Linked DNA regions of Rattus norvegicus. The protein of the gene in region 1 purifies or fractionates together with the protein of each later gene. This does not show direct contact. Links are inferred from orthologs where the notes say so. Each region holds a gene or a part of one and is shown in the gene's direction. Other genes may lie near its edges.

Region 1 (4,210 bases):
AGATCCTTTCTCTACAGCCTTTTCTGGCTATCTGCCACCCCCTTCTCCTTTCTGCGGGGCGAGGCCAGCAGGTGCCCCAGGTGAGTGTCCCATCCCCAAACCTGTGTGTGTGTGTGTGTGTGTGTGTGTGTGTGTGTGTGTGTGTGTGTGTGTGTGTGCTGGTTTGCCTAACACTGTCGGGGCCGGTGGACTTGGACTTGTATGCAGTCATCAAAAGCATTTGACACCGGGAACGAATACATTCTCTTAAAGAATAAAAGTTTCCAGCACAAGAGGGGCGGGGAGTTCCCGAAGACCCTCTAGACGTGAACTCCTCGAGATTGTGGAATGGCTCCTCCGCTGTCCCGAGTGGAACCTATACTGTTGACTGCACCTCGAGAGCATTCAAGGATCATGAAGGCAGGGGTTGGTGGCGGAGGAAGAAGCCACCCGCTTCGCCACACAGAACTACTTTTTCGCTCCCCTCTATCCCCCGCGACAGTGCTGCGCGGAAGCATCCGCGCAAGTTTGGAGAGTCCGGGAAGCGGAGGGATCCCGCGTGAAGCGGCTTCCCGAAGTCCCAGGGAGAAGGGCCCAAAAAGTAGGTGGGGGAGGGGACGGCTAGGCGCGCTCCAGTCGCGCTGGGCCGAGGGGACAGAACCGGAACCGGAACCCGCGCGCGCGCCCGCAGCAGTCGCAAGGCTCGTCACCGCCGGCGGCCCCCTCCGCCCTGTGCGCGCTCCCGCGAGTGCCCCTAAGACCGGGCGAGCGGCCCTGCGCACCGATCCTCCGCCGCTGCCCCCGCTGCTCGGGGGCTGGGCTTCCGGGCCGGGCCGGGACCTCCCGCTCCTCGCGGGAGCCGCCGCCTACCAGAGCGTCGGGGAGGAGCCGCCGTGCCACTGCGGAAGAAACGCGGGGGCCTCCGAGGGATGGGGAGCTGCCCCGGGCGCTGAGACAGGGTCCCTGTCAGCGAGGCGGCCGGAGCCGGGTGGGGGCGGCGCGGAGCAGCTCAGGGCCTTCGGTCGGGGGACATGGGGCGGCGCGAGCCCGGCGCGGGACGGCGCGAGACGCGGCGGAGGTTGCGGCCACGAGCGGCCGGCAGCCCCAGATAGAGCCGGGACCCGAGGGCCGGGCCCCGCCGACTCGGGACAGGAGCCGACGCCCGTCCTCGAGCCTATTCTGCCCCAGCCCCGGAGGGATCCGGGTTCCCTTCCTACGGCTCGCGACTTCCCTCTGTGACGAAGTTTTCTCCCGGTGCCTTCCTGAGGATCCTTCTTAGTTCTTGAGCTCGCCTTGTGGCCGACTTGCTCGGTTTGTTTGGGGAGATAACTTGTTTTGCTTCAACCCGCATCCCCTTTCCTTGACCCTTTGCAATCGGATGTTCTAGATGACTGAATGGAGTTTTGAGTTGGACTTTTGTGTCCCTGCCGAAATTGGGCCTGATCCCAGAGTACTGGGGGTGGGGTGTGGAGGTGTTACTGTAAAATGCAAGTTGGATAAAAAGAAGACCTCTCGCCAAGGGCCCCAATGAGTGGCACACAGTCTACTATCACGGACAGGTGGGTATGAAGTTCCTCCGTTGCTAACCTTTCCTGGATTCGGCCCCACGCAGCAGGGGAGTCGGTGATTGCAGATCTGCCTTCAGCTAGTGCAATTGACAGGCATAGGAAAGAGGGTTGTTTCGGAGCTGTGCAATTAGTCTAGGGTTGCTGCCAAGTTATCCGGTTGATTGAATTTGGAAATGCAGTTTTTCGGGAGAGAAACTTTCCCCCATATTCCCAGAGGAAATGAAGGGAAACCATGATTGTGTTTTTTTTTTTTTTTTTTGGTCGGGTGCATTAAGATCGTGTACTCATTTTGGAACCAGAGGGAGGTCATTTTGGGTGAAGGTCAGTGCCTGAGGTCGGTGGGGATCGGTGCATGATCGGGTTGATTCCTGTGGTAGTTCTAGCCTCAAACTTTTAGGAGTTTCTGTCTGTGGACTTATATCCTGCTGCATGGCGATTGGTGACTCTGATCTCTTTTTACGTGTTGACCTGCACAGTGTTTAATTATTAATTACCTAATTTTCCAGAATGTTGACATTACCAGTAAATCACGGGTTCTTGCTGGGGACAGTTTCCAGGAGCTAAAGGAAATGAGGGAAAATCATGGGGCCTGCTTCTAATTATTCCTTTTTTTTTTTTTTTTTTTTACATTTCATCTTCCAGAAGCCCTAGCATTTAAAGATGTAAGCCCTAGGTCTGGTTTAGGTATGGCAGGTGGATCCTGACAAGGTGTTGCATGTAGAGCATGTAGTCCAAGTGTACTTCTTTGACTTAAGAGATCTGAGTTCTTTTCAGTGAAAGCAAGTTGGTTCCTTTAGCATATTTTTATTTCTCGACTTAATTATGACATTGCATATTACTTCCAAATTTTATCCTGCTTCTTTATGTCAACCTTCAAATCGTTGTCACAAAACAAAACAAAACAAAACAAAAAAGCAGATAATTGGAGCAGAAGGCCAAATGTCTTCAAGAGCGACGTTAGTGCTCCTGCGGGGAGCAGTTCAGTTTCCTAATGAGAGAGGCTCACCCAATTGTGCGTCTCATTTGTTGATTTTTAAAGGGCCAAATTCCATTATCATACCATAACAGCTTCTCCAGAGACAGAACTTCCTTTTCCTGTTGATGCTTTCCAGTGTCACATGAGTGTTCACCTAAAAGATGCCCCTAAATATTTAAAGGACTTATGTTTGCCTTTTGTGTACTTTGTTGGGCAGGATTTCATTTCAGTTTTCCTGCTAATACAGTTCACTTCTGTATAGAGACAGTTGGCACGGGTCTTCCTGCCACCCTACTCCCTCTCCTTTCGAGATGTCCCGCTTCTGAGAAATCACTCGCAGGTGTCCAGATAACCGCTCTGCTGGTTCACTTAGTTCTTGTCTGTCAGTTGAGCCTATAGTTAAGCAGACTTACCAGAAGCTGATGGCAGTCCTGGTTTTTATTAAGATGTTGCAGAGTTTAATTTGTAGAAAACAGAATTTAGAGTCATCGAATCATTCCACACAAAAGTCATACAAAAGCACCCATGGAAGGATTGTTTTTTTTTTTTCCCTCCCTAGCTTTGTTTCTGGGGGATTTTTGTTCTCGTATATAAATACGTTGGACATAAACATTGACATTTGGGTCTTTTGCTTTTTAATAACTTGATTCGCTGTTAAACAGTTCGTTAGTAAACATTGCAGAAGTAAAAGTACAAAAGTAAGTCTTAAAAAACAAATCCCTGTCTGTTTTATTGGTCATGTGTCTGAGTGTGCAGGTATGTGCACCTGAGTGCAGATGCCTTCAGAGGCTAGAAGAGGCTTTAGGATTCCATGGGTGGTTGTGAGCTTGCCTACCCTGGGTGCTGAATATCTAACTTGGGTCCTCTGACCACAGCAAGAACAGTGTGTGCTCCTAACCGTTGTGCCACCTCTTACCCATCCCCATCCCCCCTTCTTAAGGCTTTGCTGTGTGTTACTTGTAGCATGGCAGTCCTCCTCCTGCCTAAGCCTCTTGAAGAGGTGGGCTACCTCCCTGCTGGATTCTTGCTCTTAGATATTTATGTGAGAATGGTGGACGCACATTCTATGGAGTCAAGCGTTGGATCTGCCTCCCTTTCCCCAAGACAGGGTTTCTCTGTGTAGCCCTGGCTGTTCTTCTGTCTGTAGACTAGGCTGGCCTTGAACCCAGAGATCTACCTGCTTCTGCCTTCTAAGTGCTGAGATCAAAGGCATGTGCCACCGCTGCCGAGCTTAAGTCTTTCATCTTTTAACACAGGGGAACAAGTTGTATTGGTGAAGGGGAGCAGTCTAAATACATTAATGCTTTGTGGGGCTTAGGCCCAAATAACTCTTCATCATAAACCTCTACTATGTTGCCTCAGACAGCTGAGCCATGTAAAGTAAGATCCCGGAAGGTTTATTTCAAAACTGTTGGAAATCCTGCTTTCTGTCGGGCAATGAAGTTTGGTGTCTTTTCCCCCCTTTTAAAAGAGAATTACTAAGTGACCACTACTTTTTCTTTTCTTTTCTAAACTTAACTCTGTAACTATACATCCGCCCTTTCCCTTTAAGAGAGTAATAGCTCCTGGTTTGAGTGTACGTTGAAGTGAGATCTGGAAGTGCTGGTTTAGTCACACTTACGCCTTAGCAAAGTTCTTCCTGTAGACTCCAGCTTCTTCTCAGCCCCAGGTACATCTCTTCCTACCG
Region 2 (4,057 bases), on another chromosome or scaffold:
CAAACTTTTTTTTGTGATCAATGTTTTATACCACAATTTTATATCCTATATACCCAGGGTGGCATAAAAATTTCTCAGGTGACGGGACGGAGAGTTGAAAAAGTTTAATTAGCTGTATTCTAGACTGCCCATTTTCGACATTTACTTTCCAGACAGTCTAGGATGCCTTTCCGTGGCAGAAGCATCAATACGTGCTTTGTTTCGCACGGAGCTTCCTAGAGATTTAAATTCAAGCAGTACCATAGGACACAATAAAGGTTTATTTTTACAGCACATCCATTTGTTTTGTTTGCTCTTCCCGTCCCTGGATACCCTGGCAATGAGCTGAATATCTGTCAGCAATTTGCTTGGCAATTTTTCTCATTTGGTATAGGCTCTCCTAAGTGATGCAGATAAAATTCGTCCCTAGCACGGCACGAGAACCAGGCAAACAGATTTGGAATGAGCCACACTGTAGATACAGCACGTGAATTCCACGCCGTAGGAGCAGACATTTGGTTTCTACCCTTGATTATTTGTGCCTGGCCTAGATTTCCCCTGGAACCCGTTTGCTTTTGCGCGAGGTGTGTTTCCCTTTGCTGGGCAGGAGGGAGATCCGGGAGGCAGCTTTGGAACGGCAGGGTTAGAACAGAGCGCGCGTCCGCAGAGGGCGGAAGGAATCCCGGGCAGACCAGACGGACACGCCCTGCCGCTTTCCCAAAGGGCCGTCTCTCCTGGGATGCCTGGCTCCCAGGCAGCCTGCAAAAACCCTTTTCTTTTTCCAATGCAGACGAGACAACCTCGGCGAGCCAAAAGCAGAGTCAGCGGCCCCACCCACTCGCCTCCAACGGACCCGGGTTGCCTTCCCGGTTCCCAGCAGCCCCCGCGGAGACGCCGCCCGCACGGGGCATGCTGGGAGTCGAGGTACCCGGCACTTCTTGACTGTCTTCCGTTCGGAATTCCACTTGGAACGCTGTGAGGTAGCATCGTAGTCGGCGCTACAGCCCCGCATTCGCAGCTCCAGGGCGCCAAGAACGACGCCCCTCGCCCGGCGCCGCGCACCCCGTCTCCCACAAACAGCCCTACTACGCCCCCTGCACGCTCTACAGAGATTGACAGCAGCGCGGCGCAGGGAGCTGCGGCCAAGTCGGAGGTGCGCAGGCGCACTAGCTCAGCGCCGAGCCCAGTTAGGCCCGGAGGGCGGGGCCAACACGAGGGCTCTGGGCCGCGGGGGCGCGCACGGAGACACGTAAGGCCGTCACGTGGGGAGCCGAGGATCGCAGTGCGCGTGGCCGCGGCGACTGGTGTGGGGTTGAGTCAGTTGTGACACCCGGAGCTGCTGACCCGACAGGCAGCCCTCGGGACCCGCGGCCCGGCAGCAGGCGCGGAGCTTCGGGAATCGTGAGCCTGGCCCCGTCCTAGAGCTCCGCGGAGCCGGCGCCGCCACCGTCCCCCGCCCCCGCCAGCGAACCGCCGCCGCGGGCGCGCCCCCGCTCTGCGCTGTCTCCTATGGCGTCCGCCTCCGGGGCCATGGCGAAGCACGAGCAGATCCTGGTCCTCGACCCTCCTTCAGACCTCAAATTCAAAGGTAGGCTGGCTGGGACGCGCCCGAGCGGGGCTGGGGCCGGCGGGCGGCGGCGGGGTGGACGGGCTGCGCTCCCCTCCCCCACGCCCGGACCGAACGTCGGAGCCGCGGCTCCGCTGCGTCCCTCCGCTCGGCGCCTCGGCGTCCGCCGCTGCCGGGCCGGGCTGCGGAGGGGAGGGGAGGGAGCCGGACGGACGCCGCGGAGGGCTCTGCCCGGAGCCGCCGCCATCTTGCGGCCCACGGGGGCGCCGCGGGAGCCCGCCCGCGCCTTGCCCGCCCGCCCGCATGGCGTCCTTGCCCCAGGGCGGCCGCGGCGCGGTCCAGGCTGTGCGAGCCGGAGGCTGGGAGCAAGAGCTCCGGGGTCTGCGGGCGCCAGCGGGCGACGTTCCGCGCCTTTGGGTAGGCACGGCCCGCGGGCGAGGCGCTCAAGACCGCGGGCTTCGCCCGGAGTCTTCCCTGTCAGGTGCCGGACTCTGTCAAGCCGGGAGACCCAGCAGTGTCTGGCTGGGACTGACCCCGAGTGTTGGCACGGCCCCAAGCGCGCGGCAGAAAGCTGTGCGTCAGCTGGGGCATGCATGGTCGTAGGTTAATGGGAGTGGGTCCCTTGGGTCACGTCGACTCGTCCTTAGGTACGGAGGACCCAGCCCTTGTGCTCCTAGTCCTTGAGTTCACACTGTCTTTTTACTGAAGACGACTCAGGGTCTGTGACCCTCTTACGTTTGCGGTTTCCCAGCATACCCGGAGAAAGCTGATAAGGTGCCACACAGCTCTGGAACTGTTGACTTTGGAGCACTGACTGTGATAGACAATCACTGGTTTGGTGATCCTTGTTCAGATCCGAGGCCGTTTGCCTTCTCAGTGTGTAGGAAACGAAAAGTTATACAGAACAGTTTACTGCATTTTAAGGAGCTAAAAAGAACACGTGCTTCCTATCTTTAAATGAAAAGTGCCCCCCTCCCCCTTTGGAAAGTTAATACCTTGCGTTTTAATTTCAGCAACTGGTGAAAACAATTTCCCTTAAGCGCATATCGATTCCAGTAGGAAAAGAAAAAGTAAACCCATTATAGTAGTGTAAAAGTGAGTCCACATGAAAATAGCTGAATTGTCCTTGTAGGAACAATTTAAAATAGTTCCAGATACTTAAGACTTTTATATTTTAAATAGTTTAGGACTTAAACATGTGGTATTCTGCTAGTAGCATGCCCTGCAGGCGTTTCAGTACATTCACAAGTTCCTCCGTACTAGACAAGAACTTGATTGTGATTTTAAGGCAGTTTTAATATGCTTGGAATTGGGTCGTGAACCACACTTATAATCCCGGCATTTTGGAAGTTCAGGAACCACCCAAAGTTTGAAATAAACCTGGACTACATGTGAGACACTTGACAGTGTCTCACCCTCCGGTATTTCGAGTGTATTTTGCTGCAGCAAATTTCTGGTTGCTTGATTTAAGTTTTTTTGGAGGGGAGTTGGGCGGAGTTTGCTGAGAAGTCCTCAGAGTATTTGTACTGTAGTAGCCATCATTAGTGGGAGCGATTTAATATAAATCTTGACGATATTCTGTGTGGTTTGCTTTCCCCCTTTTGACAGTGTAGAGCAAATTTTCCTTACTGCATAGCCATGTGTGAAAGGTATTTTATGAGGCAGGTTTTAAAAACCACCAGAAATTGTGCTGTATTCATGTAGATCACTCATTTTTGATATTAAATAATTACAACCGTGTTTATGCAACAGGCTCTGTGTTACCAAAAATCCCAATGCTGGTGGAAAAGGCATGTAAATGATACCGGGGCAGGAGCACGTCTGAAAGAAGCTCTTTTCTGTAGGAAACTCAAGGAAAAGGCTCTTGAAGTTGCCTGGGGAAAGTCATGCAAAGGGAGTGGTTGAGTAAATCGGAGTGAGATGAGATGCATAGACTCCAGTCGGTCAGACTTGTGGAAAGGTGGGAGAGATGGATATGATAGGGAGAGGTGCAGAGGGTTGAAGTGAGGTTTGCTGCTTTTCTCCTTAGTGTTACTTTGTCAGCCAGAGGTAACTTGGTACAGTGGAAGCCTCTGTATTTCAATGCACAGCTTTACACTAAGTAGGGTGATTTAGAATCCACTGTGCATCTTTTGGTTGACCATATCAAAAATTATTTAACTGATCTTTACATGTCTTTCATTTAAGTATAGGTTGTTTATACATTTCATTTTGCAAAATTACTTGATTGTGTGCAAGGTTTATTTGAATTATTTGGATTCAACAGTGGTTTCTTCAGGAGTGACTCAGCCATTCTGAGATTGACAGTTTTTCTTTAATATGAATAATGACTTGATAAGTGTTATAACTTTGTAGTTTACTTCTCATAACTAGTAATATATATATAAGTCTCTTGATTGTAGAATAAATTCTAAAGCAGACCTTTTAGAGCATAAAAAGATTCATTAAGAAAATTTTTGGTTGCTTAAATTCTAGCAATACTTTAACCAATAATTTAGATTTGAAATTGGA
Region 3 (3,987 bases), on another chromosome or scaffold:
ACAAGGGCATCTTTCCTCATGGTTTTTTGTTTGTTTGTTTGTTTGTTTTTTTCTTTTACATAAACCAGACCCAAACTTGGGTTTTGCACAGAGCATTAATGACTGCAACTGATAGAAAATGAAAAGACACTGTGTCTGGTGGTTTCCATCTGCTCCAACACTGCAAGATGAACAGAGGTAGAGTTGGTGAGTTCTAGGCCAGCCTGGACGACAGAGTGAGAGCCTTCTCAGAGAAATGGAAAGTAAAGGGCCATCCAGCATTTTATCTTCCCTTCAGTTGTCTGCTCCAGTGGGTGTGGTCAGGGCAGGATGCACCAACGGCCTCATGCCTCATCCAGAAGGAGAATTGAACGAGGTCACAGAGCAGCGGGTGTGGGGTTGTAATGGGTATCTCTGTGGGGATTATTACTGTGCAGTGCGAGGCTTCATTCTGATGCTGGGATGAGACCGGGTCCTCATTAGCACGTGCTCCACCACTGAGCTGCACCCCAGCATCGGAGCTATCTGGAGTCACCTCTCTTCGTTCACATCAGCTCTGGGTGCCCAGATTGAATCCACTGTATACAGAAAATACTTGGGTGAGGCAGATGTCCTGCTATTTCCCTGTAATCCCATCCACTCTGCAGTCTGAAGCAGGAGGATTGCAAGTTCAAGGACAGCTGAGCAACTGAGAGATAACTGCCTCACACTAAAAAGTAAGAGGCAGTCTAGACTTGTAGCTTGGGTCCACATGCACAAGGCCAAAATGGCCGATTCGGAGAGAGCCTTGTACCTATGCTGACCATGGACAGAATCTTGTGTTGTTACTCTTCAGACAATACAGCGGAAGAAGAGTTTGCATAGCTTTAAATGTGTACAGCAGATTCCACTGTACGGGAGGAGCTGCAGCTCTGTGGACAAGCGCCAGCCAAGCAGGGGCGATGAAAGCCTCAGCAGAACGCAAACGCAACACAACGTTATATAGGCCGCAATGTGCTGGAGGTGTCCTGGCTCCCTGTGCTTGGGAGCCTGAGTCACGTGATCAGACACGGTGGGGTTCGGTGGTGGAGCACTTGACTAGCACCAGGCCCCTGGGTTAAGAAACATTGCTTCGCAAAATAGAACCATGTTGGTTGATGTCGATACCATGTGGTGGTGATGGATGGCACCCAAGGCTGGTACTCAGAGAGTGAAGCCCGATTCCCTTTCGCAGGTCTCCCGGCCAAGTCCCCACTTCTGGCTGCTCATGCCACTGGGACTGGGGCGAAGGAAAAAAGCACCACCTCTGGTGGAAAATGAGGAGGCGGAGCCAAGCCGGAGTGGGCTGGGCGTCGGGGAGCCCGGGCCCCTGGGTGGAAGTGGAGCAGGGGAATCCCAGATGGGTTTGCCCCCACCTCCTGCTTCCCTCCGGCCTCGCCTCGTGTTCCATACCCAGCTGGCCCACGGCAGCCCCACGGGCCGCATCGAGGGCTTCACTAATGTCAAGGAGCTGTACGGCAAGATCGCTGAGGCCTTCCGACTACCGGCTGCTGAGGTACCAGTGGGACCACGGTCCCTTAAGAGCAAGCCACAGGCCTGGGCATGTATTCCTGTGAGCTGGGGCTCGTGTTCCTTGCTGGCCAGCAGCCCCTGAACCTAGGAGGCGTGGCTACAGGAGGATACTGAGTTCCTATGAGGCCTTGAGAGACTTGTACCCTAGTAGGTATGGGGGGGGTTTCCCAACGGGCCTTACGAGGCTCGTAATCTAGTAAATTGTGGGTCTGCAGATACTGATTTCCCATCAGGTCTGAAGTAGCCTGTGTCCTGGAGGATGACAGCCACAGGTGGCAGCTGGGTTTCCAAGGCATTGGGAAGCTTGTGCCCCAAATACTGTGGGACCTCAAGAGGGGGAGGGAGGGTGTTAGGAGCAGCTTCTATTTCTCCAGGGTGCCCTGGAGGCATGACTCCAAGCTAGAAGCTGAGAAGCCACTGGGAGGGCAACAGTGGGACTGAGATTCAAGTGGAGATGGGTAGGAAGGCTGGGTGGGAGTCTAGACCCCCTTCACCCCTCAGTAAGTATCGAGTGATCTCTGTATGTCAAGCTAGCTCTTGAGCTTTTACCAGGACAGAAATCCTGCTCATAGCATTTGATGTGCCAGTGGACCTCTCCTTGGCTTTGGGTGTTACCAGTCCCTGGGATAGGGGACCCAGGGAGGAAGGATGAGCATCTTGCCCCACCTCTGCAGGTGATGTTCTGTACCCTCAACACCCATAAAGTGGATATGGACAAGCTGCTGGGGGGCCAGATCGGGCTGGAGGACTTCATCTTTGCCCATGTCAAGGGGCAGCGCAAAGAGGTGGAAGTATTCAAGTCTGAGGATGCTCTGGGGCTCACCATCACCGACAACGGGGCCGGCTATGCCTTCATTAAGGTGCCCGGGTGGGTGGCACACCCTTAGTCAGTGGCCAGGGTCTTTAATGGGACCTAGAGTGGAGCTTCCAGGGTTGATGCCTGCCCCTCCACAGCGCATCAAGGAAGGCAGTGTGATTGACCACATCCAGCTCATCAGCGTGGGTGACATGATTGAAGCCATCAACGGGCAGAGCCTGCTGGGCTGTCGGCATTATGAGGTTGCCAGGCTCCTCAAAGAGCTGCCCCGAGGCCGCACCTTCACCCTCAAACTCACCGAACCTCGGAAGGCGTTTGGTGAGCCATTCTTGCAACCTGGACCACCCACCGGGCTGACCTTGAGCTCTTAAGAAATACAGATTGTAGTCCTGGGAACCACCAGCAGGTGGCACTCAAGCCTGCAGTGCAGAGTGGGGGCAGCCCCACCCTACCCTAGAACTGAGTGCTGGCTGACAGCCCAGCCAGAAGGAAGTCGCCCCCACACCCGACTTCCAGGAGCCATTAGCCCAGCCGAGTGCCCCCAACCCTGGCCAGCCCCCTCAGCCTGGAGAAGTGAGGCTTGGCTGCCTTGTATGGCTCCTGTGCCCGGCGCCCCCCCCCCCCCCCCGTTTCTACCTGGCTTCACTAACTCTCAGGAATGGGCCTGAGGCACCCCTGATGTGGGTAGAAAGGGCTTATCTGAGACTCAGCAGTTACACTCACCCTTCTCAACCCTCACTCCTTCAAATAGAAGCTACCTTCCATTCTCTCTCCAGCTGCTTTTATGTCTGGCCCCTAGCTGCCCCTCACCATCCATGCAAAGTCCTGCCTTGCTGGAACCCAGTCCCTACCCAAGGAGCCTGCAGAACTTTGAAGGTGGTGGGAGGTGGTTGTGTGAAGCCTGCGTACTGTGTTACCGTGGGCTGATTTTCCCCACTACCTTTGCCTTCTACAGATATGATCAGCCAGCGTTCATCAGGTGGTCACCCTGGCTCAGGCCCACAACTGGGCACTGGCCGAGGGACCCTCCGGCTCCGATCCCGGGGCCCTGCCACAGTGGAGGATCTGGTGAGTGAGCCCCCCGGGCCGGTGACACCATTCTAATTATGTGAAAGGCTCAGGACACCTCTCTCTGCCTAAGCCTACTCTTACCAGCTCTGGGACCTACGGTGGTCCATCGGGCAGCCTGGGGTCTCCTCCCTGTCCAGTAGGTTCAGTGACTTCTTGTCAGAGCAGACATTAGCGATGTAAACAAAAAGGGCTGCCAGCACGGAATTTCTGGCAGGAGGATTTCACATTCGCTCAAACCGTAAGACCTTGTCACCAGGTTCTTATATGAAAATAGATGAAAGGCAGCCCAGTGTAGATACGTACCCATAATCCTCTCCAGGCTACTGGATAGGAGTTAAGTGTTCAAAGCCAGTTTGGGCAACTTAGAATATGTCTGGGTATGAGAATGGTAATTTCTGGATGTTGGGACTGAAGAGATGGGCTTAGCAGTTTATAGGAGGTGTGGCTCTTGCAGACCACACAGGTCAGTTCCAAGTGCCCATGACGGGTGGCCATCTCTTAACTCCAGTCCAGAGGTCCAGTGTTCTCTTCTGACCTCCACAGACACCAGGCAGACACATAGGACACAC

The links. Proteins that work in one complex are often made in the same cells at the same time.
Region 2: the proteins of Arhgef12 (region 1) and Vapa purify together in Homo sapiens (affinity purification with mass spectrometry; 5 studies listed by BioGRID and IntAct, counting the BioPlex papers as one, with this or other methods). This does not show direct contact. The link is inferred for Rattus norvegicus from reciprocal best matches to the Homo sapiens genes ARHGEF12 and VAPA.
Region 3: the proteins of Arhgef12 (region 1) and Gipc1 purify together in Homo sapiens (co-immunoprecipitation; 4 studies listed by BioGRID and IntAct, with this or other methods). This does not show direct contact. The link is inferred for Rattus norvegicus from reciprocal best matches to the Homo sapiens genes ARHGEF12 and GIPC1.

The regions. Positions count from the first base shown.
Region 1 is NC_086026.1:52,369,577-52,373,786, reverse strand, and holds the start of Arhgef12 (rho guanine nucleotide exchange factor 12), read left to right. Parts: upstream 1-1,410; 5' UTR 1,411-1,506; coding exon 1,507-1,538; intron 1,539-4,210. UniProt on the Homo sapiens protein: May play a role in the regulation of RhoA GTPase by guanine nucleotide-binding alpha-12 (GNA12) and alpha-13 (GNA13). Acts as guanine nucleotide exchange factor (GEF) for RhoA GTPase and may act as GTPase-activating protein (GAP) for GNA12 and GNA13.
Region 2 is NC_086027.1:112,651,932-112,655,988, reverse strand, and holds the start of Vapa (vesicle-associated membrane protein-associated protein A), read left to right. Parts: upstream 1-1,257; 5' UTR 1,258-1,488; coding exon 1,489-1,567; intron 1,568-1,766; exon of another isoform or gene 1,767-1,963; intron 1,964-4,057. UniProt on the Homo sapiens protein: Endoplasmic reticulum (ER)-anchored protein that mediates the formation of contact sites between the ER and endosomes via interaction with FFAT motif-containing proteins such as STARD3 or WDR44.
Region 3 is NC_086037.1:41,381,143-41,385,129, reverse strand, and holds the start of Gipc1 (PDZ domain-containing protein GIPC1), read left to right. Parts: upstream 1-1,187; 5' UTR 1,188-1,225; coding exon 1,226-1,513; intron 1,514-2,204; coding exon 2,205-2,390; intron 2,391-2,484; coding exon 2,485-2,665; intron 2,666-3,302; coding exon 3,303-3,415; intron 3,416-3,987. UniProt on the Homo sapiens protein: May be involved in G protein-linked signaling.